Drosophila melanogaster: one gene and its partners. The protein of the gene in region 1 interacts with the protein of each later gene in a pairwise test. Each region holds a gene or a part of one and is shown on either strand. Other genes may lie near its edges.

Region 1 (8,013 bases):
GACGAACGTCTCTCGGGGACAAGTCTCCACACAAACCTGTTGAAATACGTATTTCATTAAAAGTAAGATCAACTCCTTGCAAATTTGATGTTAATGGTATCTCACCTGTGGAGTGTCACATCCAGTGATGGGTACAAGTGGATCGATGCACTGATTCAAGTCGAAAAAGAATAGGTTTTTCTTGTTCAGCACTCCGGAGTCCATGCCACACTTTCGGTTAAAGGAGTCCGTGGGCACCAGCAGTTTGTTGAGATCGCCGTTCCTGATGGCGTATTGGGCTATGAAGGCCCATCCGCCCAGGAAGAGGACGAATAACAGCAGGCAGGGCACATCCGTGCAGCTGCGATCCCTCTGCCTCGGTCCCGTGAAGTTCCGGTCGTAGCGCAGTGGCTCGCCGTACTTGTTCATCAGCTCCACGCTTTCCGTCATCGCTCTCTACTGAAAGAGTCCAAGAAGAACCGAGTGTTTTATGTATGTATATACATAGAGCCACTATCGATGGGTCGTCGTCTCTAGGTAATGAGATTGTCAGGCGTATATCATGTAATTTATTTCCGTGCATGCGTCATTGTTTTAAAAATGGAAAACCGAATCTGTAGTGGGTGGTCGTGTTGGCGGTGAAGCCAACCACCAGCGGCTCTTTTTGTTCTAGTTTATTTGTTAGTTTGGTTGGGGAAAGTACGATGAGTAAATGAAATTGTCGGCGACAAAGTGCGGTTTGATTATATCAACGACAGGCGGCCAACGATCCCTTTTGGATTGAACCACAATTAAATAATATTTCTTCCTATGTTTATGAATAAGACTGTTTAACCTTTTAATGATCAATGAACCTAGCTCTGTAACAAAGTTTTCTACTGGATAAATGAACTTTAAGAATGGCTTTGGATGGGCTGGTGAATTATCCATAATTATTGCTAATACATTCTCCTACAGCAGACTCATTTAATTAATCATGAAAGCAAATAGAGAGCAGAAATAAATAAAGTATCGCTCATTCGGTTTAAGAGCTCCCCTGATAACGATAGCGATCGCAACTGTACGAACCTCTTGGGGATGCGAAAATCTGCGAAGAGGTAGCAGTAAAGCAGCTCGAGCATGTCGCAAATCGGCAATAATGACGCATTAAAAAGCAAATTAAATTTGTGCGCTCACTTGTTGCTGTTGTTTGATTGTTTATGTGTATCGCTTTATTTTTGTGTGCGGCTTCTGTCCATTTGAGATGAAAAACTGGCTGCCGCCTTTAATAGATGAATTACCAAAAAAACACACAAGTTTTCATAGAAAATGGGAAACCAATTTGGGTTGGCAAGGCATTTGGGGCCACATGTTTCAAGGTCGATTGCCGTAACTCCATTTTGGTGTAGGAATTTCAATGTCTGGGAGTAGAGTTTATCATTCAAGCAGTGCTACGGGCAACACTCTCAGTAGCTAACCTTTTTTTCTTGCAAAGAAACTTGTAGACATGATAAGAAAACGGGTGTTCGTTTTGATATCTAACCCATTTGCATAATTTGTAGTGTAGAAAACTGGTTTAAACCTAAGTTGTCCTTGCATCGAGTGTTTACTGTGTTCACCTTGGACTACGTCACTTGAGATAAAAGAAAGCAGTCGCAGTTCTGATCTTATCTTATAATGGTAGTCTCTTGTTTCCCATATGAACGATTTCCCCTTGTTGTTTTTTGGAACTACAAATGTACAAGGCCCCGTAATTTCGTAATGAAGCAGTATTACTCACCTTTGCTTCGGAGCCGAACGATTCTTCCAGAGATGTAACAAAGGAGCTCCACTCTTCTCGTCGCTTTTCCTTTCTTTCTTAAAGTTCCTTTATTGTCTCATGACACTTTTTTACGAGCGGCTGGGGGCTTTTTGTTTAGCTGGTTTCCTGGGACGGAGTCACTACTCCGGCGAAAGTCACCGGACCACTGAAAGCGGGAAGCCTTTGTCGGAGCTCCGTATCCCGTACGTTGCTCTTTGGACGTCGGTCACTTGCATTCGTTGGATAAATATGTACATACATACATAAAAGAGCTCGAGTGGGGCTGCAAGCATAAAGGCAGCATAAGTGTTTATGTGCTAGTGTTTGTGTGGTGCCACTTGGGGATTGGGGGTGGGGGAGTTGGGGATTGGGTTGGATTGGATTGTGAAAAGAGCAGCACGGCACACTTTTGTTAATTGCACAATCCTAATCGTTTTCACCCGATAACGAGCACTGGCCATTCCCGTTATAATAACACCTTGCAGTTTCGACCGAATTCGAATTTCTGTGCATGCAACTCTTTTCGTTTCGCTTGTTTTTGTTGTGGAGCGGGCGCATGAAATTAAGCCCCCAAGCTCACGTACTGCGACTCACTTGCACTTGCGCTAATTAAACGGCGAGCACTTGACTTTCTACGAAGTAAACTCCTTCACAATCGAAATAATACTGAATCGCCCCAAGAAAATCTGCCCACCACCCGCGGCCCCATACTCTGAACAGCTGTGCCGAACAGTGCTGCACAACGGCCCGTTCTGGTCAAAACAAAGCAGAAATGTGTGTGGAATGTGGCACTGCACAGGGATGCACAAAAGCTAGTGCGAGTGTTGGCCGCTTTCAAGCCAGATCTCGTTACTTGTTGGAAAGTTTTAGAGCCGCGTAAGTTATAAAAAAGTTTACATTATATTTTGATTTTGGGTCCTTTTTAAACAATTAAGCTTACAACAGCATAAGCCACCTATATATTTTACGTAACCTATCAACTTGGTAGCTCGAAACTTTACTTTAAAAATGAGCTAGATGCCAAGCTAATGAATTTCTAACTAACGGAATTTTGGAAATACATAGCACCCATAACAACTAAATATTGCCAAATGCAGCCAGCCGCAGCAAGTCTCGGCTTGTGCTGCGCGCAGTGTGAACGGCTCGGAGTAATTTGCGAAAACCGCGACCAGTGCTGCGCAACGCGAGTGCGAAAGCCAAAAGCAGGGTCGGATCTTTGGTGCGGGGTGGAGCGGAGAGAATGTAGCGTTGAGGATTTTAACAAGAAACAATTTAAGAATCGCGCTCCTGGCCGTGCGAAAAGCGCCTGGTCGAATCGTTTAAATGTCCCCTTTGGTAGCGTCGATTGCGTGTGTTTAATCCCCGGTGCGCTGCTTTTACAGACTGTGTTGTTTTCGTGCCGGCAAGCCAACCAATTTGAAACCCCCCAAAAAGTTTCCACTTTTTCATTCCCCCAGAAAAGTGACAATTATTCGTGGCCGTGGTCGGCGGATGCAGCTGCAAAGCGGGCGGCGATTAAAGTAGTGCAATCCGGCGCAGGTCCTCGCCATTTGTTTATGTTGATAAAGCAGTGTTTGTGGGGCGACAACAAGAAAGTGCAGCTCAGAGTGAAATTGCCACGGTTATTAAGTGGTTGTGGTTGCTTGGTGTACGTGCAGAAAACCTAAAACAGACATCCCCAGAAGAAGAGGAAGCAGCGGAAAAGGAGGAGGAGGAGCATCAGCAGCAGCGACGTCTCTGTTGTTTTTGTTTGGCTGCGAGAGAGAGAGAGGGAAAGAGCAACGAAGAACACGCGGCTCTTTCGAAAAAAAAGGGCGGGAAGGCCCTTTCGGCTCAAAGGAAACCCTATCCCACTGAATATCCGTAACTCTGCCCGCCGGAAATGTCAAAGGGGGGCGAGCACAAGCGCGTCACCCTCACCTCGATCATCCAGGGCGATGCGGGCTTCTCGCGCTTCGGCAGCAACATCCTGGAGCCTGATGCTGCGTCCGCTGCACCCGACAACAGCTCCAAACCCACGACAAAGACTGCCAAGTGCATCCGCATCAAACTCGATCTGTTCGAGACCGATTCGAACAAGTATCCCGAGTTTAACTACTCCCGGCTTTTGTATTTGGAAAAGGTAAGAGTGTATAACTCAGTTGGAGGATCGCTTTCTAAACCCTTGCAATCCGTAGAAAAAGACCAAAAAGCTGAAGCAGGTGAGCACTACCAATGGCTCCGCAAGCACTGATCCCTTTGCCGACAACGATGACGATGTGGCACGGATCGTCAAGGAGCTGGAGGCCAAGTATGGCAACTCCTATGCCACAGGCAGGGGGAAGAGCAAAAAGGACGACTACCGGGACATTGGAATGGGCTACGATGAGTCGGACTCATTCATCGACAACACGGAAGCCGTAAGAACAAGAAATATTTCCGACGAATGCACTGAAATTATTTACCTTAAACTCTATGTTCTGTCCAGTACGACGAAATCATACCGGAGGAGGCGGAAACTCTGGAGGGCGGCTTCTACATCAACTGTGGCGCACTGGAGTTCAAGAACCTCACCAAGAAGTCCTACACCACTCGAACAGATGCCATCATCAAAATGCCAGAGCGATCACGCAAGCGCATGGTCTCGTCCAGCTCGGAAAGCTCATCGTCATCCTCGGGCGATGATGACGAAAACGATGATGGCAACAATGAGGAGGACGACGAGAGCGATTCCGAGGACGACTCCGAGGAGAACGATGAAAGCGACTCCGAAGACGACTCCGAGAGTGAAAGTCTTGAGGACGAGGACTCTGCTGCTACAGCCAAATCCAGCAGCAAGTACAAAGACAATCATCAAGCTAAGCGGGCCAAGGTCATCGTTACGGGCAAGTCCAAACCAAGCTCAAGTTCTTTGACGAGTGGCAAGAAGCCGCCGACTAAGCCGATCACCACTTCCTCATCCTCAAACTCGCCACGACCCAGCACGGTGGAGATTTCGGACACGGAAGACGGCCAAGACCCTATCCAGACTCAGCCATCAAGTCAGCTTCAGTCCCTGCCGCAGAGTCAGGCCCAGGCGCAAGCTTTAAAGAAGGTGGTTAAGACCACAACGGTCAAGGACATGCTAAAGGCCAAGCGAGACAGCTTCCTGAAGTCGCAGAGCGGCACGGCAGCTGTCAAGGGCGTCGGCAACGGCGAGCTGAAGTGTGTTTCCACCGACGTGTCCAGCAGCGATAGCAGCGATATGGAGTCTGAGCACGGCCGGGCAGATAGGCAGGCCGGTCAGCATGGCAAGGATGGGCAGGAAAGTGAGTTACATATACAGTATTAGTTGGTTGAAATCACCCTTTCACGTGTTCATTTTTAAGATCTTCGCACCGCCGACACTCTGCTCCCCACCACATTGGATGCGGACATTGTGACCGCAGTCAACAGCTTCAAAGAAGCGGTGAAGAGTCGAGACATGTGCGGCAAGAAGTTTAATCTGGATGTGAAGCTTTCGCCACTACTGCTTCGGTGAGTTTGCAGCCGATGTAAACATCAAGTACAGATTTAAGGCTTATATCCATTAACCTACACCAGGGTGTACGAGGCGGTGCTGTGCACGGACCGCAACGAGCGCAACATGGTCTTCTCCCACATCGAGTATCAGCTGCAACTGCCCAAGTACTACATGCTGCGCAAAGGGAAACAAGTGCGGGCGAAGGAGGAGAAGAGGAAGTCCACCATTATGCTGGAGAAGCTGCGGCGGGCTGTAGCTGTGGTCATGCCTAAGGCGGTGGCCAACTATGAGACGGAACTGCGCACATTTGCTGAACAGGCGTAAGATTGTTGTTAAGCGAAATAACGATTAGGTTCCTTTAGATTATGATTATTATTTTCAGAGCTGCGGACGTGAACTCCGAACTGCCGCCCAAAATGCCGCGTAAGAAGTTCCAGTGGACCAGCGAGCTACGCCATCTGCTGTACGATGTGTACCAAGCGCGTTGGACGTCCTACGCTTTCCTAGCCAAGCGCAAGGAATCGTTGGAGGAGTTCATCAATTGGTATCTCAAGGAAAAGGTGGTGGAACTGTGGCCGCCAGGCTGGATGCGTTTGGATGAGTTGCAAAGGGAAATAACACGCTACAAGAACGCCAAGCTGAAAGCAAAGGAGAAGCCAAAGGCACCGCCGGCGTCCGCATCGCCCAAGCCCGTTGGAGTTGTATCTGCTCCTGAGCAAATGCCGCCGGCAAGCAGCTACCTAAAGGCAGTGGAGGACCCTCGATCTCGAGGTAACTCCGATACGGACTCAGCTACAAGTGCCTCCTCCAACAGTCTGAAGCGAAAGCTGAAGGAGATGCCCAAGCAGACCAGCAAGCCGCCAAAGAAAAAGGTGGCTAAGCAGGTACCGCTGCAACCGCAACTTACTCCGCATCCGCAATTCCAGCTGGCGCCGGCTGCCACGGCGGCCGTCAGTATACCAGCCATTAGCAATAACAACAACCACCTGCCCCACCTGGACACGCTGCTCTCCATGCCGAGCACCTCGGCTCAGGCAGCAGCACTCAATGCCGCCGCCGTAGCAGCCGCCAGTACGGTTCTGGATCTGGCATCCCCTAGCCGGAAAATTGACCTTAACACCAGCAACAATTTCTACAATCTGATCACGGCCGCCTCCCTGGCAGCCAGCGGGAATCCCAGTCCGCATTCTGGAGACGGCCAAGCCAAGGTGATTGTGGGAGCTCGGCCCTCTCCCCATGTGATCAACCTGGATGACTATCAATGCACCAGCGATATACTTCAGACGTCCAAGCAGCTAGCTGCCACCACCACTGTCATCACCGCCATCTCAAAGGCCGCGCAAACGACGTCGGTAGCCAGGGAAAGCAGCAGCGAGTCGGATGGCGTTGAGATTGTGGGAGTTTTTCCTGCCTCTAAGCCCCAAAAGAAAGTCCAGTCTAAGCCCAAGAACAAGACTCAGAACAGAGGTCGGTCGTCTTTGGGTGCGGTGGGGCAGGTAAATGGATCCCTGGGCTACAGCGCGAATAACATGTATATCTACAATAGCCCAAGAACGCTGGGTCCAGTGTACGATCTCACCGATCCGCATATAATGAAAACTATGTCAAATCTGAAGGAAATGGAAAAGCAATTCATTCAAGCGGCTTTCTCGCCGAACAGCGTCAAGGGCGCAAGCGGAGGAATGGGATCCTCAGCGCCCAGTACGCCCACGCGCCAATGACATTCGGGATCGGCCGCACAGCAGCCCCTTCCGGCTGCTGTGACGGCCTTTTACAACCAGGAGGCGATGGCCGCCGCCATCGTGCTCTCCACGATGAGCCACGCCTCGCCGCGCTACGACCTGCTGGCCAACGGCTCCGTCTCCATGTCCGCCGCCCAGGTGGGAGCCTCTGCCAACACACTGCCACAAGTATTCGTTAAACCCAGCCTGCCGCAGCCCAGCGCTGGCGGCGATGTGGTGACCACGACTGGAGCTGCTCGCCCATCCACGCAACAACTGCCCACAAAGTTCATTTAGCTAGGGTCACTCAGCTCGTTCCCTTGCGATTCTAATCTAAGATTCTAGTGCTGATTCTAGGTAGGTTTCATTCGCAGCTGTGTCTGCCGATTTTCCAATTATTGCACCAGTTTAATTATTGTTTCTCATTGAGTCGTTTACCTACTAAGTCAGTGTACTATGCAAGCATTAATAAAGCAAATTTATATATATTTATTTATAGAGAACCATTTTTATTAAATAAAGGCGAATAAGTTATGTAATAGAAATAAATCCAAAAGGCGCATTTTCTTTACACACAGCGAATATATATGTATATATATAATTGATACAAAATTAGTTCTGTAAACCAAAGGATAACGCTAAAACCAGCAACTGCCGATAAACACCGACGTGCTGTCACAGAAACGATTACTTAGTCTAATTTGTAAAAGATAACACGCGTGTCTCATGATGATATAGCCGAAAGATCGGACGTCTGTTGGTCTGCGATCATTTGATCCAGCGCAGCACCGATGTGGCCGCCATTCGCACGAAGGCGATGGTAGACTGCTGGTTGGCCGCCGGCATCAGATTGGGATCCGCCAGCTCCGGCTGCGGTGTCAGGCTGGGCACCGCCTCCCAGTCCATGCGCAGAGAGTTTTCGTCTGGAAAGGCATCAGCATCAGTTTGAAAAGATTATTCCCCTCAAATTGCTAAACCAACTCACCCTCTGACTCCGATTCCGTGGCGGTCTCGATGCCGATTAGTAGGGAGTCCACTGACTTCATGAGTGG
Region 2 (5,161 bases), on another chromosome or scaffold:
TAGAGCTGTTAAGTGTATAACCTCTAGATTTGTTTTGAATGTGTCAGTTGGTACACAATTTTATTTTCTGTGTAGCGGAGTAGAAAGGGCAGTATTTGTTTTACAAGGCGGGCGGCGTGGCGAGGCGTCATTTAGTCTGCGGTTAGATGCGCGTACGTTTTCGCGATTCTTTTCTCTTTGGACCCCGCTCTTAATGCTCTTGTTGAGTTTTTTTTGTTTTTTTTTGTTTTTTTTTCTTTGGATTTTTGTTTTGTTACAGCCAGGCAGGCGACTTTTTTCGCGTTGGCTTTCGGCTGTTGCGCTGCCGTGTTTTCCACCATTCGCCGTTGTTGCGGTTGCAGCACGTCTGAACGTGTTTATGGCGCGCATATCCGCAAATATGCAATCAGACCATAATCTACTTAATGTCTTTTTCGCCGGGAGGTGAGCCGCCCACCCGTGGCCATCATTAAAAAAGGAAGAGCAAAAAAAAAAAAAAAACGAAAAATGGGGAAAAAGAAGTGCGCACTGCGAATGAAGTAATGCAGTTTGCCACACACGTGCTGTGCGGATTTATGGCCAAAAGCAAAGGACACGCCACATTAACCGAAATTAGGCTGTCACTTTTTGGCCATTCGCGCATTAGCTGCCAAAAGTGAAGTTAAAAGTGCGTGTTTTTTCCGCTTTTCATTATCAAGGCTTTTGTTGTCTACTTTTTGGCGCGCAGCGAAGCATGCGCTGCTTTGAAGTCATTGGCAAGGATATGAGTTGTATTTTGTGAGCAACAGCAGCAGCTGCGGAAATCGAGTTGAAGCAAATGAAAGGATGTGAATTTTAAATGGTTAACTGCGAGACTTGAATGGCACGACAACAATCTGTACAATAACGTATTACAATCAAAAAGATAATTAACAATTTCGTTTACAAATTAATAGGTCTCGACGCTTTTTTTAACTGACATAAAAATTCGAACATTTAGATCTTGTAGATTAGTTGTAAAGTATGTAACACTATAAAGTCAGAATCACTGACAATGTCCGCTTGACTGTCCGTTTGACTGTCCGTATGAACGACGAGATATCGGGTACTATTAGATCAAGAACTACAACTACTTAAGATACTGTTAAACAGATTAACAATTTATGCATCTTTATTTCAGATTGTTGTCATGCCCGCACGTACGACCACAAACCAAAAAAGTCAATTATATAATTTTGTTGAGTGTTTGAATTTATGAATTTAATTTATTATTGCCCAATTTTATTGATGCTAATTTGACGCTCCTCCTAAAAGGTTCTTCCCCTCTTTTTCTAGATTAAATCACTAATGACTGCGGACTCTAGTCCACTTCATGCCATCCGAAAATGTAATTTAGTTAGATATCATCCCATAAGAAAATTTATTTATATTTCCTAGTCGCCCTTGTTGCTTTTCGTACCCACGATGCATTCCAAGAATCCTTTATCCCCTGCAACGCTTTTCTTTCACTGCTATCCCACTTTCAGTTAAATTTACACAACCTTTTAGCTAATTTTAAAGAAAAGTCGACACACAAAGGCCTGAAGGACACAGAAATCGGGCAAAACAAAAAGACGCTTTGCAAAATATTTTGCCGTAGACAACATTAGATATTGTTTTGAGCTGTGCAGACATGGGCTGGCATTTTAGTTTAGTCTCTGTTCCTCGTTGGAGTTTTGTTTCTAGTTCTGGTCTGGTTCTGCAACTGCTTCTGCTTCTGTTTCTGCTGCTGTTTCTGCTGCTGTTTCTTTTGCCATTATTGTTATTGGGGGTTGGGGACGGCTGACAGTCTCCGACTGGCCTGTTATTGTTGGCCCGGCGCACAATGCGGCCATAAAAAGCTGCCAAGCCAAACAATTGAAACAATAAAACGGCTTTAAGAAGGGGCCCTCGGAGCTGCGGCTCTGGCAGAGTAGATAAAGGCAATTAGTGTTGGACTGCAGTTTACTCAAAGTTTCAATCGGAACCGCCGAGTCGTCTAGCTGGTTGGGAACAGGATCTCCTCCAGCTTGGCGTTGAACAGAGACTTGACCGTCTCGTCGGTGGTGTCGATGATCAGCTTGTAGTAGCCCGATCGCCGAAGCAGTCGTTCTTCGTCATCAGCCACCCCGTAGATGTCCTCGATGGGCATCAGGATCTCGCTCTCATTCGGCAGGATTAGCTTGCGTGCATCCTTGCGGAACACGGCCACCGCCTTTACCATGTTCGTGTGTGCCCTCACATAGTGCTGGAAGGTGAGGCTCTTACGCTTCGCTGAGATCTTCGACTGTATGCGATCGAGACGGGCTATCAGGCGGAGCAGTATGAACCGGGCATAGCGATCCTTGATCTCCAGCAAGGACATCTCACTGCCATTGTCGAGGGCTGGGCGCAGATAGACGCTCAGGATGATGAATACGAAAATGGCGTTGATCGCGAAGATCAAGAGCAGTATAGCCAGCTGGATGCAGTCGATGTCCTGCGAGAAGACCTCCGCCAAACGCTTCCAGTACATGAGGTCGTAGTGGTGCACGCTCCATTGGTAGTGCAAGTAGGCTGTTACTGCCACGCCCAGTCCGCTGTAGAGCGCTATGTACGGGTAGTTCGCGTGGAAGAAGTCATTAAACTGCACTCGTAGCTTCTGCCACAGCTCCATTATGTCCTGTGTCCTTTGGTTCCTTCTTTTTTCGGTGTATGGTTCCTGGCTGGTAGGGGATGAGTCCGACTGGGTTTGAATTTTCGTTTCGGTTAATTTTGGTACTTATGTTCCGAAAGGTTGATCCATACAATTAGTCTACTTAGTTCGGAGTAATGCAAAATGAAAGACGATTTTAACAAGCCTCTTATGTGGCATTTGTCTGTGATTATACTTGATTAGGTTAAGTTCTTAATATTTTGTAATTTTTTTAATAAATATAAAACAAACTCACGCATTGAATTGGCCATATGAACATTTATAATCTCTATATCTCTCGTTCTCTGATTATCTCTTTATTTCTATTCAAAAATGAAACTATTAATTCTGCAGTATTATTATGGTCTTTAAATTGCTCTGATTTGAATGAGCTATTGAATTGGATTGAAATTGAGTTTTACTCAAAAGTATAAGAGTTTTTTTTTAGCCCGTTCACCCTGCAACCAAATGTTGTGGATGCCAAACAAGTTGCGAGCTCGACGAGGCTGGGTCGAACTTGTTTGGCCTGAAGGGATTGAGCTTTATTGGTGTTGTCTGTAAAGGTTTGAGCAGTTTTGAACAGCACTCATGTGGTAAAGGTCTGTTCCCCTGAAACATGCAACCAATTTCAGTGGCCACAACTCGCATGGAACCGCCCACGACTGCAACTCGAACTGTCTTAAAGTCTTTGGGTTGCATTGTATTCTTCATTTTTTTTTGCGTGTGCTGCAGGCAACTAAAATACGTAAAATACGTCCAGGTCCTGTTGGGCGACAACATTTCGCTATCTGGACTAAGTTTTGCCAGTAACCCGCTTGCGCCCCTCCGCTTTTCCTATCAACCCTAACCGATTTGAGACGTTGATAAGGCAAGCGAAAAAAGCATAGCATACTTCTGAGCGCAATGCAATTTTCCGTTTTCATGTTCTTGGCTCTACTTTTTCGACGTTTTATGCTGCTCTTTCCCTTTTTTCGGGTTCGTCCTTTTGTGCTCTGCACTTATTATTGTCTCTTTTCGGTTGACTTTTTGCGCCGAGGCCAAAGTGCATGCAAAACTGCATTTTGTAGACAAGCCGAAAACCGAAAACTGCCAGCCAAAACGGAAATATTCAAAAATGGTTGGCGGAGTGGGCGGTAGTGGGCGGTAGAGTTCAGTGGGTGGGGACGGCCTATCTGCCAACTCTCGGCCTCTTCCTCCTCCTTCCTCCGCGTAAGTGTGTCTGTGTCTGTGTATGTGTGTGTGTGCGCGCTAATAAAAACGTAAAATTTAATGGTTACGGAAGGCACTAAAAAACAGGCTCACCGACAGCACCCAAGTAGTTGTTGCTGCTTCTGCTAGGTTCGCACTTGCAAAAATCGAGTGCTTTCTTATTAAAACAATTAATATTTGACAGTGAGATATTTTCATAGCTTTCACCTTTTATACAAATTATAGGCACATAATGCACTCTTTCAACTACATTTCATAAGTAAAACTCAAATTAAAGGCACGAAAAGAAAACATTAAATTTGGTGTGCCTTATAAATTGTGTTATTATATATTTCATTAATTTTTGTTAATTAATTAATTATGTTAATTTTTTTTTATTAAAAGAAATGAGGTATATTTAGAATATATTTTTATTTACTTCATAGTTGCCTTAGGTAGATACAAGCTGATTGGAAATTGTCTCTTTCAAGACCATAACTTAGGGTCTCAAGACCGAAAAAAACATTCTACTTTGCTTCAATACGCATCAATCAACGGAAGCTCTATCCGATTTTTCCGAGTGCATCTGCAGTTGCCGCTGCACTCGTAGTGGTGCAGGCAGTGGTCTTCGGCTGTGTGAGTAGTGGCACTGGCGATAACCAAGCAACGAACCACAACCGCACCAAGGAGCGCGGGGAAAACCATTCGATGGGCAAAACTGTAACTACGCCAACCGCCGCCGTCCTTGCCACCCCCTTTGCCAGCCACCATTTCGCCCGCCGCCGACGCAGTGGAGCGCCCATCCGTGCACGTCAAACGCAGACAACTTGAAAAATGTAGAGACAGCGCCGCAGTATAGTTGAAACACGCCAAAAAATATGCAAAAGTAAAATAAAACAGGCACGGCAGACACAGCGACAGACAAACGCATTTGGGCCCGTCGAAAAGCAGGCCCAAACCAGCAACTTCCAGCCACCAACTACCAACTACCAGCGACCAGCTACCAGCTACCAACATCCAACGTTCGACAGTCGAGGGTCGAGGTTCGACATTTGCCGTTAAGGGTTTTTCGCTGTTGCTGTTTACACCCGATCTCAGCCGAAAAGGGAAACTCGGGGGTATGAAGGGCTATTAAGCCAAGTTCTCTCTCCAGGAAATAATAAGTTAGCTTAAATACAGTTGTATGTATATTTAATAAGAAGACAGTAACATGTTATAATAATTTGGAATTATTTCAATTATGAACTTTTATCATTTTATTCATTTCCTGGATTCACAAACACATATATATGCTGCCCGTTGGCATCACTAGTTTCTGGTAAC
Region 3 (7,895 bases), about 18 Mb from region 1:
AAGTAGGAGGGGCTGTAGTAGGTCGATGGCGTGGTGTAGGAGTAGGTGGTGCGCTCCGGCGATGAAATCACTCGGGTCGTCGTGCGGACAACGCGAACAGGCGATGGTGAGTGTATGACGCGGGACACCACGCGGGCAGGCGAGGTTACCACGCGGATGGGCGAGGTCACCACCCGGGTTGCGCCGTAGACGCGGCGTGGCACCGAGTAGCTCGAGTAGATGGGGTAACTCGACTTGTACACCTATATGGCAATGGTTTCAACATTAAGACAACATCGAATATGCAAGGTTCGGTGATTATGATTTGATTAGCGGAATGAGAAAGCAGAGAAAATAAAAAAGAACATATAAGAACTAGAAACAGAAACGTAAACCATATGTTCGTGATCTCTCCATTTAGGCAGTTTTGTCTGCCTTATGATTATGGAAGTAGTCGATTTTACATCACAAAAATGATGATATATGAAATGATAATAAGTAAAGAATGCATCTTGAAAATGCTTACTACTTTCAGATTATTTAACGTGGGATCGTGGGATTTACCCAGAATAATTTCTATTTTGATTAAATGGATTCTCTAGTGCTTTAATCTAAATAAGACTATGATGTGAGGGCTTATTACTAACCGAATCTGTTTTTCCAGTGACGATGATGTGATGGATGTGATTGAACAGTGTGTGATATAAGTCAATAGAAAAGAATAGTAATAATCCATAGAAAGATGGATGATGACAAGCGATGTAGGCGATAAGGATGAAAACCAAATACTTACACGAGTTACTTTCTCGACCGAGGGGTACTGAAAGTAATACAAAATAGAGCAAGTCATGTTTTGGTTCAAAAGAGTTGACAACTCTCATATATTTCTTGACAGAAACGGTTTAGATTTCCTTATCCTAATTTGTGTCTTCAGTATGAATATCGTATCGACCTCTATATATGTTCATTTCAAGAAAATATAATGCTACGTTCATTTGAGATAAGACCGTGTTTATTTTATTGTATCACAAATATGTTTTAACATGACTTCTTGAAGGTTGCAAATACACACAGAAATTGTTGATCTTGTTCGGTTAATCTAGTCTATATGCGAAACTATTTGGGCATTAGTGGTGATTAGTCCAAGTCAAAACGAAAATACATCATCATTGAAAACTTCGTATACAAATATATATATATATATATGGGCACTCAAGGTTAGCGGGTTAAGTGGATTATTTGCAAAATGTATATATTTATATATATATATAAATTCAGAACAATGACGTATTAGTGGGCACCATAACATTCAAAGCCGTGGACAGCCAACGCCGATCCTTTGACGCTGTGCGTCTCCTACACGTGGTAGGAGAAGTGGCGGTACTTGGTGCCGCCGGGCAGGTTGCCGCTGGTGGTCGAAGAATAGCTGTAGCCACCGGGTCCGGCGCCAGTGGTGCTGGTCCGCTCTGTGCTGTAGTTGTACGAGCCGCCGGGACCGCTGCGCGACGTCTTCTCCACAGTCGACGTGTACGTGGAGCGCTCCGGGCGGTACGAGTGCGGGTTGCTCGAGTCGTAGCTGCTCTTCTCCACGGACGACTTCGAGGTGTACGAGTAGTCCGAGGAGGCCCGGCTGCGGTGCGAGCCCGGTCTGTCCGTGCACAGGTCTAAGCGTGGAGTCTATAAATTCCGATTTGATAGTGATATAGAGATAAGGTTTGGTTTGGTTTTGGTTTTGGTTTCTATTTCGGCATTGGCAGCACAAGCATCATAAAAGGATTAAACTTGCTCCTGCTGCTCCACGAACTGCTGTATGCAAATGGCCAAAGAACGCAAGGCGACTCAATTGGGGAAATTGAAACATGTTCGAACTGTTTTACTTTAGAGTTAAGAGCTTAATGCAACCATCTATGCACACAAATGCTATGAGTCTATGAATGAAACGTTAGATACATGGGTACACAGAGAAAAAAGCACTGACCGTTTGTAGTTGGAATCTCATTGAACAATTTCTATAGAGCGTACTGCTAAAATGGAAATATTTCGATTACAACGTATTCTGGATAGAATGTCTAAAAGTTCTACTTTTTCTCTGTGTAGAGTAAAAACTTGTTCAGTGTTTAGTGGGTTAACACAAGATTATATGGACTATGGCTAGACTATATGTAGGCCTATCATTATTTTGAATGCATTTTCAGTTTTTTTTTTGTCTGTTTTAGTTGGTTATGTGTCCTTAGATACGACTAGGTTCGTTCGACTAGGCTTCGATTGGGTTCGGGTTATCGGTTGGGTGAATAGGATGATGCTCCCCTAGTAGGAGTACTTGGTGACCATCGCGCCCGACCTCTCGTTGCGGTAGGTCTCCCGGCGAACTGGCAAGGACTCGGAGACGGCGCGATGGAGTCGCGGCAGCTGGGCGTCCAGACTGTCGCGGAAGGTGCGGCCGGCGGTATTGCCACCCGCCTCCACGGTGTCGATGTGCTGGCGCACCATGCCCAGGATCCGCGTCCGGTTCTTGTCCCGGGTGGAGACATACGGCTCAATGGGCTCGTAGGCCAGCTTGTAGTCGGGCTTGATGGAGGCCCGATTGATCGGATCGAGGATCGACCGCTGGCGCCGCTCGAGATCGGGACGCCGCACTCCGAAGGCGGTCACCGGATCCGAGATGAGCGACGGCCGCGGCACGAACGGAACTTTCTCCCAGTCAATTGGTGTTCTCTTCGTTCTCTGTAATGCCCAAAAGTCCACAATTTTGTTTTTAATTTCTGGGTCAGCCGGGGATTAAGCTGTGGCTCAGTGGTTAGGTGGTGCAGCGAACGGGGATCTCAACTGGGCGGTGCGGTGGGTCAAAGTCATATGTACGAGTATATACAGTACGCGGGCGGGGCATTTATATACAGCTTCGTTGGGGCAGTAGTTGAGTTTGGTATCAGATCGCAGTGCTGGGTGGGTCAAGCTGTATCCAATAACATCGAACATCCTTACATTATGACACAAGATGCATAGCTACACATGTGTCTGAACCCTAGGGTGGACCTGCATCTCTTTTGGTTTGCACAAGCCTTAAACAGATATTACGTATACGCAACGTTGCTTGCACAGTTGGGCTGCAGAAAGCTAGCCTACTTAACAGGTTTCTATTGAAGTGCAGTAATGAAAATTTAGATTTTGTTTTTCCAAACGGTCCACCCTAGTCTAAATACACATATGTATATATGCATATTGATACGACGTAGTGTGGTTGTGAGTAATGTGCAATGGGAGCATTAAGATGGAACACAAACAGCAAACGTATATATATTTACAGCAATTTAGCCAAGTTTATTTATCAATTAAGCCAGTTACCCTACATTCTAACCCTAAATACCAAAAATTAAATCTCAATAAAACGTATTTCATAGATACACATCAAAGTAGATTGCCGTTTTCATTCATCGAATCATCAAGTTATCACTATAAATTATAAACAGCGAGTGCTTTTCAAAATGTATATGCATGGCACACAGAAAGTGTCCAGACAAGATGGATCTCTTGGGGATTCGATGTACCTACATATATATCCTTGCTTTGGATTATCATCACATTGGACAGTCGAAAAAATGGGCATTTTCTTATGTTGTTCCCTCTAATTTTCGAATATTTTGCGTTATTTTGTTGTAGTTGCTTGCCATGGCATCGGTTTATTTGAATATATTATGGAAATCGGAAAGATATTTTTAGGACCAGCAAAGAGCGAAATGCGCGCGCATATAGTATTACACATACAAAAAGCAAATCCACGGCCCGTACAAAAACAAATTATCGAGAGAGCTGTGGCTCCGTATGAGTTTCATCGCGAATTCGCATGTGTTTGGAATTCCACTCGCCCATACATATGTATATATTCTAAACATTTTTGGGCACCAGACCATTAGACCACCAGACCAGACGGACCTCAGCATTTTGTAAATAATAATAAAATATAGAGATAGAGAAGAAAATGTTCGGCCTCCGCTAAATTCTTAGTTCCCAAAATGTATTTAGCGTGTTATATTTGGGAGGTGAGTAAACACGTATATCCGAAAGAGATATGAAGATCATTGCACAGCAATAAATTTGCTGAAGATTCAATTCCCACGATCGCGCGAAAATTGCAATCTTTTCACACTCGCATCGTTTTGTCAGAATATTTTGTCACATATTTATTATTTCGGTCTGGTTTAATTATGGTTAGACGACTGTGCAGGCACATAACTCAGATATACATATGTAGTATTCAGTGTAGTACGAGTACACCACAACCATTGTGTGAGAGTTATTAAATTGTTAGAAATAGGCTTATGTATGAATTACTACACAAATGTTTACACTGAACCTGAAAATGCTATATATGTACAACATGGGCAGAACGTCTAGGTGATCATTAAATATAATATCTCTGAGCACAAGGACATTCCGTTGCGAAAGACCAGCTAGTTAGGTACTGTAAGTTCGATACGATATTCATAATTGGTAGACACTTTACATTCAAACGTGTTTCAATTTCTCAAGTAATCTGCTCGCTTCTCAGAATGATACCATTGAGTACAGCAAGTGGGACACAAGCGCTTAAAACTGAATTCTTGTGACTACAGATTCGATTAGCCATTAGCTAAGTGCTAACAGCAAATAGTTAACTGCTTTCAAATTTGTCAAATTTATCCTCAGCGTTTTTTGCAATCACAGGTTAGTTTATTCTTGAACTGCTTAAGTTTCGAGTTTGGCAACTGTACGCACAGATATATTTCACAGATTTAAATCGAGGAAAACCACACTACCGTATGTCAAGTAAAGTTCAGATTCTATTTCGAAGGGCTTACCGTAACTGCGTAGGAAGTTGTCACCGGCCTCGAGGAGTAGGTTCTGCGGGTCGTAAATCCACTTTCGTAAACCATGTTGAGATTTTTAGATTTGGATGCTTTGAGAGTTTTCAAATAGAATTGTTCGTTGGATTTTGGTTCGGATATATCGTCGTTGCGTGTTGTTCACTTGACGCCCGTTCGAGTTGATCTGCCTGAGAATCGCACGGAGCACTTGCTTATAATTTTTTGATTTTCAAAATTTTCACAGCCTTCGATCCCGCTCTCTCTCGCACGTTCGGTCCATACCTCTTTCTCTATCCATCTCCCAAATGAACTTATTTTTGGAATTAAGAAACATTGACATCTCTCCTCGCAAAAGAGCGAGCGAATTCTGTTTACATAAAGCCAGCACTTTTCATACAGTTGCGTTCGGAAAAGCCTATATACACATGAAATGTACCGAGTCTAGTGCTCCCAGGATATAGAGCCCTTATCTGCGAAAACAGACGTCACGGATTTCTTCCAGAACTTTATAGATAAGATTAGAATCTGTATTTAGCATGGGATATGACTCGAATTGATGATGATGGCATCTGAAGATGGAGGAAAGGCTAATATTTGGCATAGGCTAAATATGGGTCGATAAACATCAAAACATTCGGCGGATTATTTATTTATAAATCTGCCACAAGAATTTCTCAATATAATGAGCAATTATTGATTATGGTAATTTCAATATTTTTACATTTAATTGGCATTTAGCAGTATGATTACATGTAGACATTAATAATGTTTATAGCTTAATTCGTATTCCCATCATTCAAAATATCAGCATTCAAAGCATCACCGTTGTTTAAAGATTGATTAGCCAAAACTGATATGAATGAGCTTGGCATTTTTTGAAACAAATAAGGCGTGAAATTAAAATCCTGAGAGCAATTTATGGTCAGTGGGTATCACCTGTGGACCGGACACAGAGCTTTCCACACAAATAGCTGGATATAAATTATTAAGAAAATACAAAAATGAAAATAAGATAAAAATAAATGTTGTTTTCCAACAGTTTGAGGCCAGATTACTCATACCATCTTACAATAAGATCGGAAACATGTATTCGTGAACATATAAATAAACTGCACATCATCCTATACCCACATTTTAAATCGGGTGTGTAGGTGTTTGCTTGTATATAAACAAAACCATGGCAGAAATTCAAAAAAACCAAATTCTTTATGACATTAACCTTAACGAGAGGCAATGAATGATTCGTAATTTCAAGGCTGCCGAAGTCAGCCTAATCGGCGAACAAAAATGTCATTGAGCACTGACTTGGAATTTAGTGTTTGCTTTGTATTAATTAGGTGTTAATAGACATTGAAAAATTAGCAGAAAATAAATTGGCGAAAAGGATTCAATATAGCGAACAAATCTTCTTTGATTAAATGAAAAAGGTGGCACAACATTTCTGCAACATGTTGATTTTCATAAATCTATAAAGAGGTATTACTTTAGGTCTGCAACTTGAAAAGGTTTACTAATTGTCCATAAAAGTATTCGTGTCTGACATAATTCATTCATTATTTTAATATGAGGTGATATATGGAGGTCATTGTCTGGCGACCCTGACGATGTTGAATCTTTAGATCTGTAAGATCTTTAAGAGATTATTTTTGAAACTATGCATCTAAAAAATATGAATGTAAAAGACCTTATTCAAACGAATTTAGTATTAATATTTCTTGATATGCTTATTTAATGTTTAATATTACGATAACTTACAAAAATTTATTCAGCAATATACGTTTAGCTTATAAATATCAATGTAAGAGCCCATATATTTAGGCCCGTTTGAATATATATACGATATAAAACGAGCGGCAAGATGTCAGTGACTTAATACCAGAAATCTCTTGGTCGGATGCCCCTCATAATGATGCAAGTGGCGCAGGTGCAAACACTTCCATGTGTCTCCGTTCCCAAGTCGCGATTTTGATCCATTGGAGTACATAGATATACGACTTTTGGTTTCAGATGCATGGCTGCTCAATTTATCCGCCCAGCCAGCGTGGTTGTTTGTTGGCGTCTTCGCCACTTTTTTTTTTGTGTCTGCGATAATTTTGTTAAATAATTGAGTATGCAATGAAAATTGCGCATTACAGCGACATAAGTACGATGAATGGTCTTTCATTGGGGGGGGGTTGTTTACTGTGCTTGTATGGGGACATAAGTGCCTATATGGTTACAAACACCTGTTCATTCGTTTTGCTAGAATGCGTTTCTTTCCTCACTTTTTCCCAAATACTCGCATAAACGGCATTCAAATCCGCACGCTGCTTGACATTTTGTAATTTGAACAAATTGCTTGCATTTTTAGGCAACTCCTATAAATAGTGGAGTTGCTGCTGCTGGAAATATTAGTTTGGAGCAGAGCGAACGACACGTTGGAGCCACGAGCCAAAAACCCCAAAGGACTATTACTAATTTACAAAAAAAAAAAAAGAAACCCAAAAGGATACCCTCTTAAAAGAGCACAATGAACCGAAATTACATTGTCATACTGCAGCTGCTGGGAGTGTTGGTTGTGCTGACCTACGCCAGTGCAATCCCCAAATACGAAGATAGCCATAAGTAAGTCAATTCTAGTACCCCATATACGATACTCATTTGGAATGGCTTCAGGTTCTATGCGGATAAGGCGCAGCGGGATAGGTCGTACTTTAATGAAAACAAGACCCAGCCTAGTGAACCGCAGACAGCTTCCACGAAGGATAGACTGGAACGACTGGGCTATACCACTGGCTACGGATCCCTAAATGTGCGTAAACTACATCAGAACCTCCAAACCGTGGGCTAAACTACTAACATTGATCTGTGAACTTAAATTGTCTAGGGTTATCCTGGCGGTACTGGACTATCCGCCTACAATCCCATAAAACTGGACCTGGGTGGCGTTGTCTTAGGAACTCTTGTGGGCATAGGTGCCATTATACTGATTCCTAAGATTCTATCCGCCTTCCATGGTGGTTATGGAGGCTACGGCCGCAGTGAGTGAAATGCTTTTATGGAAATTCAAAAATAAAGTTAATTTTCGGTCATTTT
Region 4 (8,920 bases), on another chromosome or scaffold:
TTAGAGTATCCGAAATCCGAAATCCTTCTCTTCCCAGTTGGTGCTCCCTTAGCGCGGCACCAGATCTATGTAGCTATTCGGTCGCATCATCTGGTGATGTGCAGCCGAACCGTAAAAACTTGGATAGGTGGCGCCCATGCCATAGGCGGCAGCTGCCGCATGACGCGACACCTTCAGCTTGTCGTAGGCGCTGGCATATGGTCCGTGGGCGTGGGCGTGCGCATGGCTATGGGCGTGGCCGTGGGCATGACCATGATGATAGTGAGCGGCCGCTGCGGCAGCAGCATTATGATGGTAGATCGCACCAAAGTTGCTCTGCTCCTGGGCATAGGGTTGTCCAATGCTCGAATAGATATTGGCCGCACTCATCACTTGTGTGGCTGACGTTGCTCCGCCTGCTCCTGCTGCTCCTGCTCCTCCCGCTACTGCTGCTGTTGCTGCACTTGCGCCCGGCGCAGCAGTTGCTGGCGGGGATGCGGAGCTGCTGGAGTGCGGCGTTAGGGGATGCGACTGCACCTGTGCCTGGTACGCATGATGATAGCTGCCATATTGCGTGTGATTCTGGCTCTGTTGGAGCAGCGATTGTTGCTGGTTAGCCTGGTGTTGCTGGTGGAGATGTTGCTGCTGGGACTGGTGTTGCTGTTGCTGCTGCTGTTGGTGTTGCTGTTGCAGTTGCTGCTCCATCTGGTAGCCCAGCAAGTCGGGTGAATTGCCGGAGGTGGAGCTGCTGGAGGGCGTGGCCGGTAGCTGCAGAACTCCCTGTTGCTGTTGCTGCTGCTGCTGTTGCTCAATGGCCAGTTCGCTGCAACTCAGGCCAAAGTTGCTGGTTGCTGCCGTTCGCTCCTTGAGTTGCTGCTGCTGTTGCTGTTGCTGCTGCAGTTGCTGCTGCTGCTGCTGCTGCTGCTGCTGTTGCTGCTTCATGCGCGCCTGACTTTCGTGACTCATGGAGGACATGCTGCTGCCACCGCCAGTGGTTCTATAATGTCAAACAATGGCAATTTATAAAAATATATATACAATATATAACTAACATGAAGCAACATTTACAGCTTAAATCTACAGCGAATGCTGCTCAGTTGGCCAAGTGTAAAAACGTGCAATATTATAAATATTAGTGTTATGATTTGTAACATAACCAGGCCGAAAGCCATAAGCCAAACACTCGGAGAAAAGAAATGAAAATTATTTGAAGTATTTCCTCGTAATAAACAAGTTGCCTAAGCACCACGATCGTAAACAAAATTGGGGAATTTGTTTACACTATGCTACCAAGTCGCGGCCTGGCAAGTTCGACAAATATGAAAAGCCCTTCGAATAAATTGTTTATGCCGCCCGGCACATCTGTCAGTCCACCCATCACCATCATCATCAGTAGTCCCATTCCCATTCCCATTCCCATTCCCTAAACCATTCCCATTTCCATTTCCATTCCAGCTTCACATTCTCGGCATTTTGAAGTTCTTTTGTTTTTGAGTTATTGTTGCGTTATTTGAAGTTTTTCAATATTTTCCGGGAATATCTATGCCGAATGTCGACCGAATGTCTAGCTCCACTTTGGACATTTGTGTATTTCAAGTTTTGAAAAGTGGGTCAATTTGTTTATCATTTGTTATTATTATTACATATTTACATTTATACTACTTCTAGACGTTCGAAAATTGTGTACTATTATTATTATATATATTTTGAAATTTATTCATTCAGCATTTTGAAATGCTCGTGTCAAAAATCTAGAACTAATTTTAAGCACATGTTTTTTTTTTTTTTAACACAATGCTAGACAATCAAATTACTTTGCCACATTTTCGCAGACAAATGAAATCGCATTAAAATATAGTTGCAAGCTGATTTCAGCTTTCATAGTTAATAGGTAAAAATAAAAAAAAATTAAAATAACAAAAAGATTTGGAACTACTTACACATCGTTGGTGCCATCATCCCGAAAGCCTTTGGCGAATGGATTGCTGGAGATCTTCAGCTGTGTCACCTGCAAGACGGCCGGAAAATTGGTGGAAAATATTTTTATTCGACTGGAAAAGCGCTTGAGGCATGCCGACAAGCTGGCGGGCCAAACAAATAAATTAAATACCCAACAAATTAGTGAAAAAAAAATTAAAAAAAAAAAAAAATAATAAAAGAAAATATGTTTATGTGGCATATGTGGCATTCCGCTGGCGGCGGGGTAAAAATGATTTGCGATAAATTCGAGGGCGGGTGGAAAAAGTGTTAACACCCCCACATAAATAATTTAAATACTTGCCCCAACGATGTCTATGGTTATATTTTTAGCCACCCACAAAATTCCCTCCCCCCTCCCCCTCCCCCTGGCCATCATTATGAATCACAACCAAGACAAAAAAATGTGGAAAACCGAGGGTATACAATGTACATATGTATGTCGAGAGTTCTTTCAACTTGCGATTAGATATGCTGTTCACTGTTCATTACTAATATCAATGCACCCACCTGATATCAATCCCACCTGATAATCTTATCTTCCCCATTTTTCGAATGAAAGCCACAGTGCATTGGAAACGTGGTTTCTAAAATCTTGTGTATTTGTGTATGCTACTTTTTTATTTTTAATATTTTTTTTTTCGGGTTAGAGTATCTGCATGGTCTGTGCTCGCATTTCCAATTGCTGTTATATATACATATATATATTCGCTATGGTTGAAATTGTGCTAGCTTTGGCCGCCGTTTGTTATAAATTATGGGAAAAACATAAACAATAAGGCCAAAATGGCACAAAATGGTCGCGGCCTTTTTGGCCGCTTCGAATGCCAAGATGAACTTATTGATAATACATATAAATCATTATGGTAAATGTTTACAAATAGCAACCAGCATATTTCGATTAACAATATATATCATATATTAACAATATATATATCATATATATATCATGCTCACCCGCTGATTCTGGTAGGCAGTTACGGCCGTAAAGCTCGTTTCCGGAAAGATGAAAGTGCGAAAGTGGCTGGAGTGCTCGTTCTCATCCAAGGAGGCGTTCTTCGGTGGCAGATAAACCAGATGGAAACGCGGCTGGTAGCGATGCATGGAGTTCAGAATGATCTGGAGATGAAGAGGCAGGATTTGAATATACCTATTTATCTATCTATCTAACTATCTATATATCTATCTATCTATCTATATAAGTAATGAAACGTACATGTCCATTTTCGTCCAGCTGGTTATTGGTGAGCTTCAATTTGTCAAAGGACACGATCTGCTTCATCCAATTGGAGCCGACGGCTGGCGAGTCGGGATGCACATGAATCCTGGGCGGGGAAATGGGATCCGCCTTGCCAGCCACCACCCAGCAGGAGCTGTTGCAAATTGAAGTGCATCATTTTCATCGAATTCCATGTGGCCATGGCTTTTTAACATTAACTTACTTGTGAAAGGCGTAGCGATAGCGTTTGTCATCCATGGGCACAAAGTCCATCATGCAAATGTAGGTGGCATGTGGATCCAAACCACCGATCCTCACCTGAAACGTGGGAAACATGCGTCGGCCCGTCTTGGTGATGATCATTTCGGTGCCCTGGGCATGGAACTGATCCCACAGCGCCTTCGTCTCCAGCACCACAATGGCCTGGGCCAGCGATGGATGCACTGGCTCCGATTCCTTAATTATCAATTGGAAATCATATATTTTAAATGATCTATTATTTATTTCGTTTCCCATCGTTGAATTTACTTACACCTTTGCTGATATTATGGCTATTGGGCTTCACTGTACCGTTCTCCGCACTGTTGTTGTCTTTTTTGTGCTGTCCCTTGAACTTTTTGGACGCGGTGGATGCACTGACTCCGCCAGCTGATGTCGTTGTGACTGCCGTGCCGCCGGCTGTTGGTGCCATCGAGGCTTCACTGTGTACGCCGGCATAATCGGTTGGCAGCGATACGGACGACGATGACGACGACGACGACTGATCCGGGCAACTGGGATTCGAGATGCTGCTGGTGCTGCTGTTGCTGTTCGCGGTGCCAGTGCTGCCTGTACTGTGCGTCTCGATGTCCGCCAATTTGGCATCGATCTGCTCCAGCGGCTTGTACGAGCTGCGATCCTTGCCAGCCGTTTGGATGCAGGCTGCAGTGAAGCACAAGTTGGTGTTACAGTGCGGGTTAAAGTGGAGGTTAAGGTGTGGGTTAAAGTTGTGGTTAAAGTGCTGGTTAAAGTGGTGGTTAAAGTGCGGGTTAAAGTCGCGGTTAAAGTGGCGGTTAAGTAGTAAAAGTAATGTAACATAAAATGCTGCTCATTAAAAGTGAAGAATGATCAAGTAATCCATGTGGCTATGTAAAATATGTAAAAAATCTATACAAAACTCGATTTACTTTAAAGAAAACTATAGTTTGGATATCCCTATAAACTATCCTTATCCCTTTATAAACTAATTAATAATGAAGATATCTCAATTCAAGCCCCTGTATTTTTTCATATCCCACTGACAAATGGGCGGAAAATATGCGACTATAAATCAAACACGTAGCGCGTATAAATTCTATAGCAAGTGAATGGGTTTTATATATATAAAATATATATGCATGTATATAGCTGCTGGGATTTGCTAATTTCATACTCAATGTGATTTATGCGATTTAAATGAGAAAGTGGGGCAGAAAGCACGTAGACGCCACGCCGGCGCAGATTTCTCACTTCTGGAGCTCGCAGTTCACAGTTCTGAATTCTGATTAAAGGAGTCTTGTAATAATATCACTTGATGATATATCCACACACCGACTTCTTTTTTTTTGTTTTTTTTGTTTTTTGTACGTTTCGAGTTGCGAGTTTGGGGCAAATGGGACAACATGTCCAATTATAAAAGAGGCGTCTGAGTAGCGGCGGCTGCTGATTGAGTTGCATGCTCTAAATTTAGGATCTCCCCTTTTCGGGGGATGCCTGTAAAATGGTATGGTATGGTATGGTATGGGATTGCATGGGATGAGATGAGATTTTCAGCAATTAATTGTCACTGGGCTCGCAGTTGCGGGAATTGCCGCAATGGCAATCAATGCCGCGAATGACCCATGACAGGTCATTTAGCCGCTTTAGCGCTAAATAGTTGCCCATTTTCCTCGATTTTTTTTTTTTAGCATTTTTTGCTGCACGAATGAATTCTAAAATCAATTAACGTTTGGCACAACAAATCGTTTTTCTGTCACATGCACAACATCAAACAACAACAAACACGAGAGAAATGCCACTTGAAATCTCGGGGATCCGGGAATTCTGAGCTAATTGATCGGGTTTTCTGGTTTTCTGATCTTTTGGTTTTCCGATTCTCTGGTTTTCAGTTTCTCAGTTTCTCAGTTTTTTTTTTTTTAAACTTTTGGATGTCATTTGTGCCGCCGCTGCCATGCTCGGTGTATTTTGCTAATTACTCTATCGCAAACGGATTCCATTTCAGTTTTTTGGGTCACTTGCAGGCAGACAAATGATATGGAATATATACATTTGTTTGCTAGCAAAATTCCATTGCCTGATTTTTGAACAAAAAACATAATATCGAATAGTCAAATGGAAAATATGACTTTTTTGTTGCTTCGCCTTTTGTTTGCTACGCGATACTTCTTTGATAAATATTTAAAGCATATATTTGAATTTAAGAAGTTTTAGTTGTACATTCGATTGAACTGAAAGGTAAAGCTAATAAAATCTTGGAAAAATATGTTTAACTAGTAGTATGCTAATATAAACTAAAAGCCTATTTTCTAGTTTAAGTTTTGAAACAGATAGTAAAAAAAAAATATACTTTACAGGACTTAAAAGTCTAAACAAAAGTAAAAGTTCATGCAAAAGTTATAACATATTAAAAATCTACTTGTATGCTTGTTTGCGACTTTTAAAGGTACACAACCTAATATCTTAATATCCGATTTAAAATACTCCGCGGTAGAGTTGCCTAATCCTCTCCAGCTTAAGTCAACTCAAACGACTCACCTTCGATCTGCTTCATGGGACTGAGTCCGCCGGTCATGTACGGCGATGTCCAGTAGTCGTTGCCATAGCAGTTGTAGTCCGTTAGGCTGGTGTCCAGGAACTGCATGGATGTGGTGGTCATCATGGCGCCGGCGCACTCAGTGGGGCCCATCAGGTGCGTCATGGCGAGCGTGATCGTTGGAATATATATATATATGATATATATATATGATGGCTGGATATGTGATGCTCACAGTGGAAGAAAGGAAATCGCAGCGAGTTCTTGGCCCATTTATTCCATTTATTCCGGCACAATTTGTTTTGATCTCGAACGTTATTCGCGCAGTTGTCAAATTTGATTATTGCACCCACACACAATCACTCACTCATTCACTCACTCACTCACTCACTGTGCACTGCAAAAAAAAAGTATGTAGTGGTGCGAAAATCCAACGCCAACCTTTCGCTGTTGTCAATCAGAATCGAGATCGAGTTCAAGAATCGAATGAAAAATCAAATTAATTCTCTTCGAATTGTTTTTATGGCCCGATCGCGTTGACTGGCGAAAATTTGCCCGATTGTAGTTTTTTGTTTTTTGTTTTTTTGTTTTTTGTTTTTAATTCCCTGTGTTAGCTGATTGATTGACTTGAACTTCTTTTATTTGTTTTCTTTCTAATTCGACTGGCAGAAAGCGTTGAGTTGTCTCAATTGCCACCTTCTTCCGGCCAAGTGCGAACTGATTATCCCGTATAGTATCCTATGTTTATATCTCGCGGATATATCGATCTGATCTGATTTCGAATGCGATCTCTGGATGCCTAGATCTCTGATCACGCACACATCCGTTCCGTCAAGCGCTGGTCCGCCGAATGAGAACAACTACTGCTGCGGCTGCTGCTGCTGCTGCTGCTGGGCAGATGCATCGCTGCCTCTCGAGATCCCAAGATGCCGCATTGTACGGACCATCTCCCCAAATCGAGAAATCTATCCGCCAATCGCCGGCCGCAGCATCCAAATTTAGACTCGCCAGCCGCACCAATCGATCCACCAATGGCCGCACGGCCACCTCCTCCTCCTCCATCTCCTCCTCCTCCTCCTTCTCCTTCTCCTCCTTCTACTCCTCCTTGGATCGCACCGACATGTGTTGGCTCGCCTGGGATCTAGCCTAGTATCAAGTGGATGAATATGCCGCGCAGAATTGAGCGTAGGGTGCGCGCAAGGCATTTACCAGATGTGGCTACAGTGAGGCCTAGAACTTGGTGAACACTTGGGGTTTGCTATCTGCAACTCTTTGTTTGGTTTTATGCAAACTATGCTTAACATAGTTATATTTATGTAATCTAATTTGATCATATTAATAACTTAATGCATGTAAATAGTATAGAGGTATCCTTTAGAGTATATAGATCACTGTACTCTCCACACGTTTCACTAATTTCTGCTCCACTGTTTACTTCTCTCTTGTTTTTTTTTTTTTTTTTGAAGGGGCGTGGTCTTTGACCATAAACAGCAGGCGGTGGAGAAGATCAAGAAGGAGGAGGAGCAGGTGATCCCCACTTTTGCATATTGTTTTCTTCATTCTCTTTTTTTTCAGGGGGGCGCGCTGATCAGTGGGCGTGGCCCGTGGAGTGGGTGGCCGACCAGAGTCATGGGCCTCATTTGGAAAACGCTTTTAATTGGACTGCCGCACGCATGGTGGTGCTGGTTGCTCGTGGATCTCGCGGTGCTCCGCTCAATGCTGCAGTGCAGCCGAGATGTTGCTGCTGCTGTTGGCCATAAATACAAATTGCGCCATAACCTCGACACTAAATAAACCGTAAAAAGGAAAACGGAATATTAAGACGTTGGCAAGGCGCACCCAAAAAATTCAATTCATTTGGAATAATCATAAGTTTTTGGAAAAAATTGCATTAAACATAAGAAATACGAAGAGAATATGAATTAATACTTAATACATAAAAAAAAGGATTACTGCTAATTTTTCATACGAAATTTGAATTAGCTGTGAGCAACATTTGCGCTCAGTGTAGCGGCGGCCACCACCTCCGCCACAAGAGGGAGTGAGATGGGCGGTCGAAAATGGCGTCTGTTGGCCATTGGAGCCCGGAATGTGGGCCCAGCGGAGATGGAGATCCGGGGAAGCCGAGAAAACTGGACCGATCAAAGTGAAACAGCCCGATTAACCGGGTGCGTCTGCTTTTCATCAGCCACGGCCATTCCAATTAGTGGGTACATACATATGTATACATATAGATGGTATATCTATTATATATAGCATGTAGTAGTATATGTTACCTGGCACACGGGGTCTCCAAGTGAATCGATTTGTTTACCCTCCCTCCTACTCACCCCTTCCATATAAATCTACGCATCCAGTTGCGTCCTGGATTTATGGAACAACTGCTTGTTAATGTTTTTCCCTGATTTTCGTTTGCCGCACTACTGTTTACAATTATTTTGAGTTAATTTTTTTTCCCCTTTTTTTTGGCATTTTCAGAAGCATTTCGATCGCAGCAGATCGTACCATGCAGTCCATAAATAATACATAAATTTGAAAAATTGTTATGGCATTGGCCATGCCATTTTAGTCGTTAATTATTTGTTTGAGTGTAAACAATTGGAAATGAAATGCTAACTGCTTCGAAGAAATTACTTAAATGATTCATAAATTCGATATTCGATCTTTTTTATCGATTATATAAATATTATATATAAATGAGTGTAATGCATTTGTTGTAAAATTTCCATCATGGACGAAATCGACTAAAGGTTTATTATTGTATCGTAAATTTAGATTCCAAATCGAAGCGTTTGGCTTAAAGGAATTTCGAAATTAAATGACGACTAAATATTTTTAATTTAAGATAATTTACAACAGTCTACTTCTCATTGTCGTTATTCGTGGCCTTCTTCTTGAGATCCAGAGAATCCATGAGATCCAATGGAGCAATCCAGCTCCGGTTCCGTCTGGCCTTTGAGCGATAAATCATCGGT

What was found.
Region 2: the proteins of yem (region 1) and CG6497 interact in a two-hybrid assay, tested with the Drosophila melanogaster proteins (one large-scale study listed by BioGRID).
Region 3: the proteins of yem (region 1) and fau interact in a two-hybrid assay, tested with the Drosophila melanogaster proteins (one large-scale study listed by BioGRID).
Region 4: the proteins of yem (region 1) and org-1 interact in a two-hybrid assay, tested with the Drosophila melanogaster proteins (one large-scale study listed by BioGRID).

The regions. Positions count from the first base shown.
Region 1 is NT_033777.3:29,117,830-29,125,842, reverse strand, and holds yem (yemanuclein), read left to right. Parts: upstream 1-2,963; 5' UTR 2,964-3,641; coding exon 3,642-3,881; intron 3,882-3,936; coding exon 3,937-4,158; intron 4,159-4,226; coding exon 4,227-5,046; intron 5,047-5,106; coding exon 5,107-5,254; intron 5,255-5,320; coding exon 5,321-5,560; intron 5,561-5,622; coding exon 5,623-6,961; coding exon of another isoform or gene 6,962-7,258; 3' UTR 7,259-7,513; downstream 7,514-8,013. Other genes in the region: Ctl2 (choline transporter-like 2), read right to left, coding at 1-36, 106-429; Atg14 (Autophagy-related 14), read right to left, coding at 7,730-7,884, 7,947-8,013. UniProt on the Drosophila melanogaster protein: May play a key role in egg organization. May be a transcriptional regulator having a role in chromatin remodeling in concert with Hira, a histone chaperone. Involved in chromosome segregation by affecting kinetochores function in the first meiotic division.
Region 2 is NT_037436.4:17,251,192-17,256,352, forward strand, and holds CG6497 (uncharacterized protein), read right to left. Parts: upstream 2,747-5,161; 5' UTR 2,633-2,746; coding exon 1,976-2,632; 3' UTR 1,186-1,975; downstream 1-1,185.
Region 3 is NT_033777.3:10,772,363-10,780,257, forward strand, and holds fau (fau), read right to left. Parts: upstream 5,013-7,895; 5' UTR 4,890-5,012; coding exon 4,815-4,889; intron 2,704-4,814; coding exon of another isoform or gene 2,287-2,703; exon of another isoform or gene 1,657-2,286; coding exon 1,336-1,656; 3' UTR 835-1,335; downstream 1-834. Other genes in the region: CG45076 (uncharacterized protein), read right to left, coding at 1-242, 773-799, 4,815-4,889; CG45078 (uncharacterized protein), read right to left, coding at 2,287-2,703, 4,815-4,889; Desi (desiccate), read left to right, coding at 7,330-7,424, 7,476-7,611, 7,687-7,840. UniProt on the Drosophila melanogaster protein: Plays an important role in the regulation of tissue responsiveness to oxygen deprivation.
Region 4 is NC_004354.4:8,448,185-8,457,104, forward strand, and holds the start of org-1 (optomotor-blind-related-gene-1), read right to left. Parts: upstream 6,886-8,920; 5' UTR 6,111-6,885; coding exon 5,948-6,110; intron 4,097-5,947; coding exon 3,708-4,096; intron 3,632-3,707; coding exon 3,399-3,631; intron 3,330-3,398; coding exon 3,173-3,329; intron 3,076-3,172; coding exon 2,914-3,075; intron 1,988-2,913; coding exon 1,920-1,987; intron 977-1,919; coding exon 49-976; 3' UTR 1-48. Other genes in the region: CG32713 (uncharacterized protein), read right to left, coding at 8,822-8,920.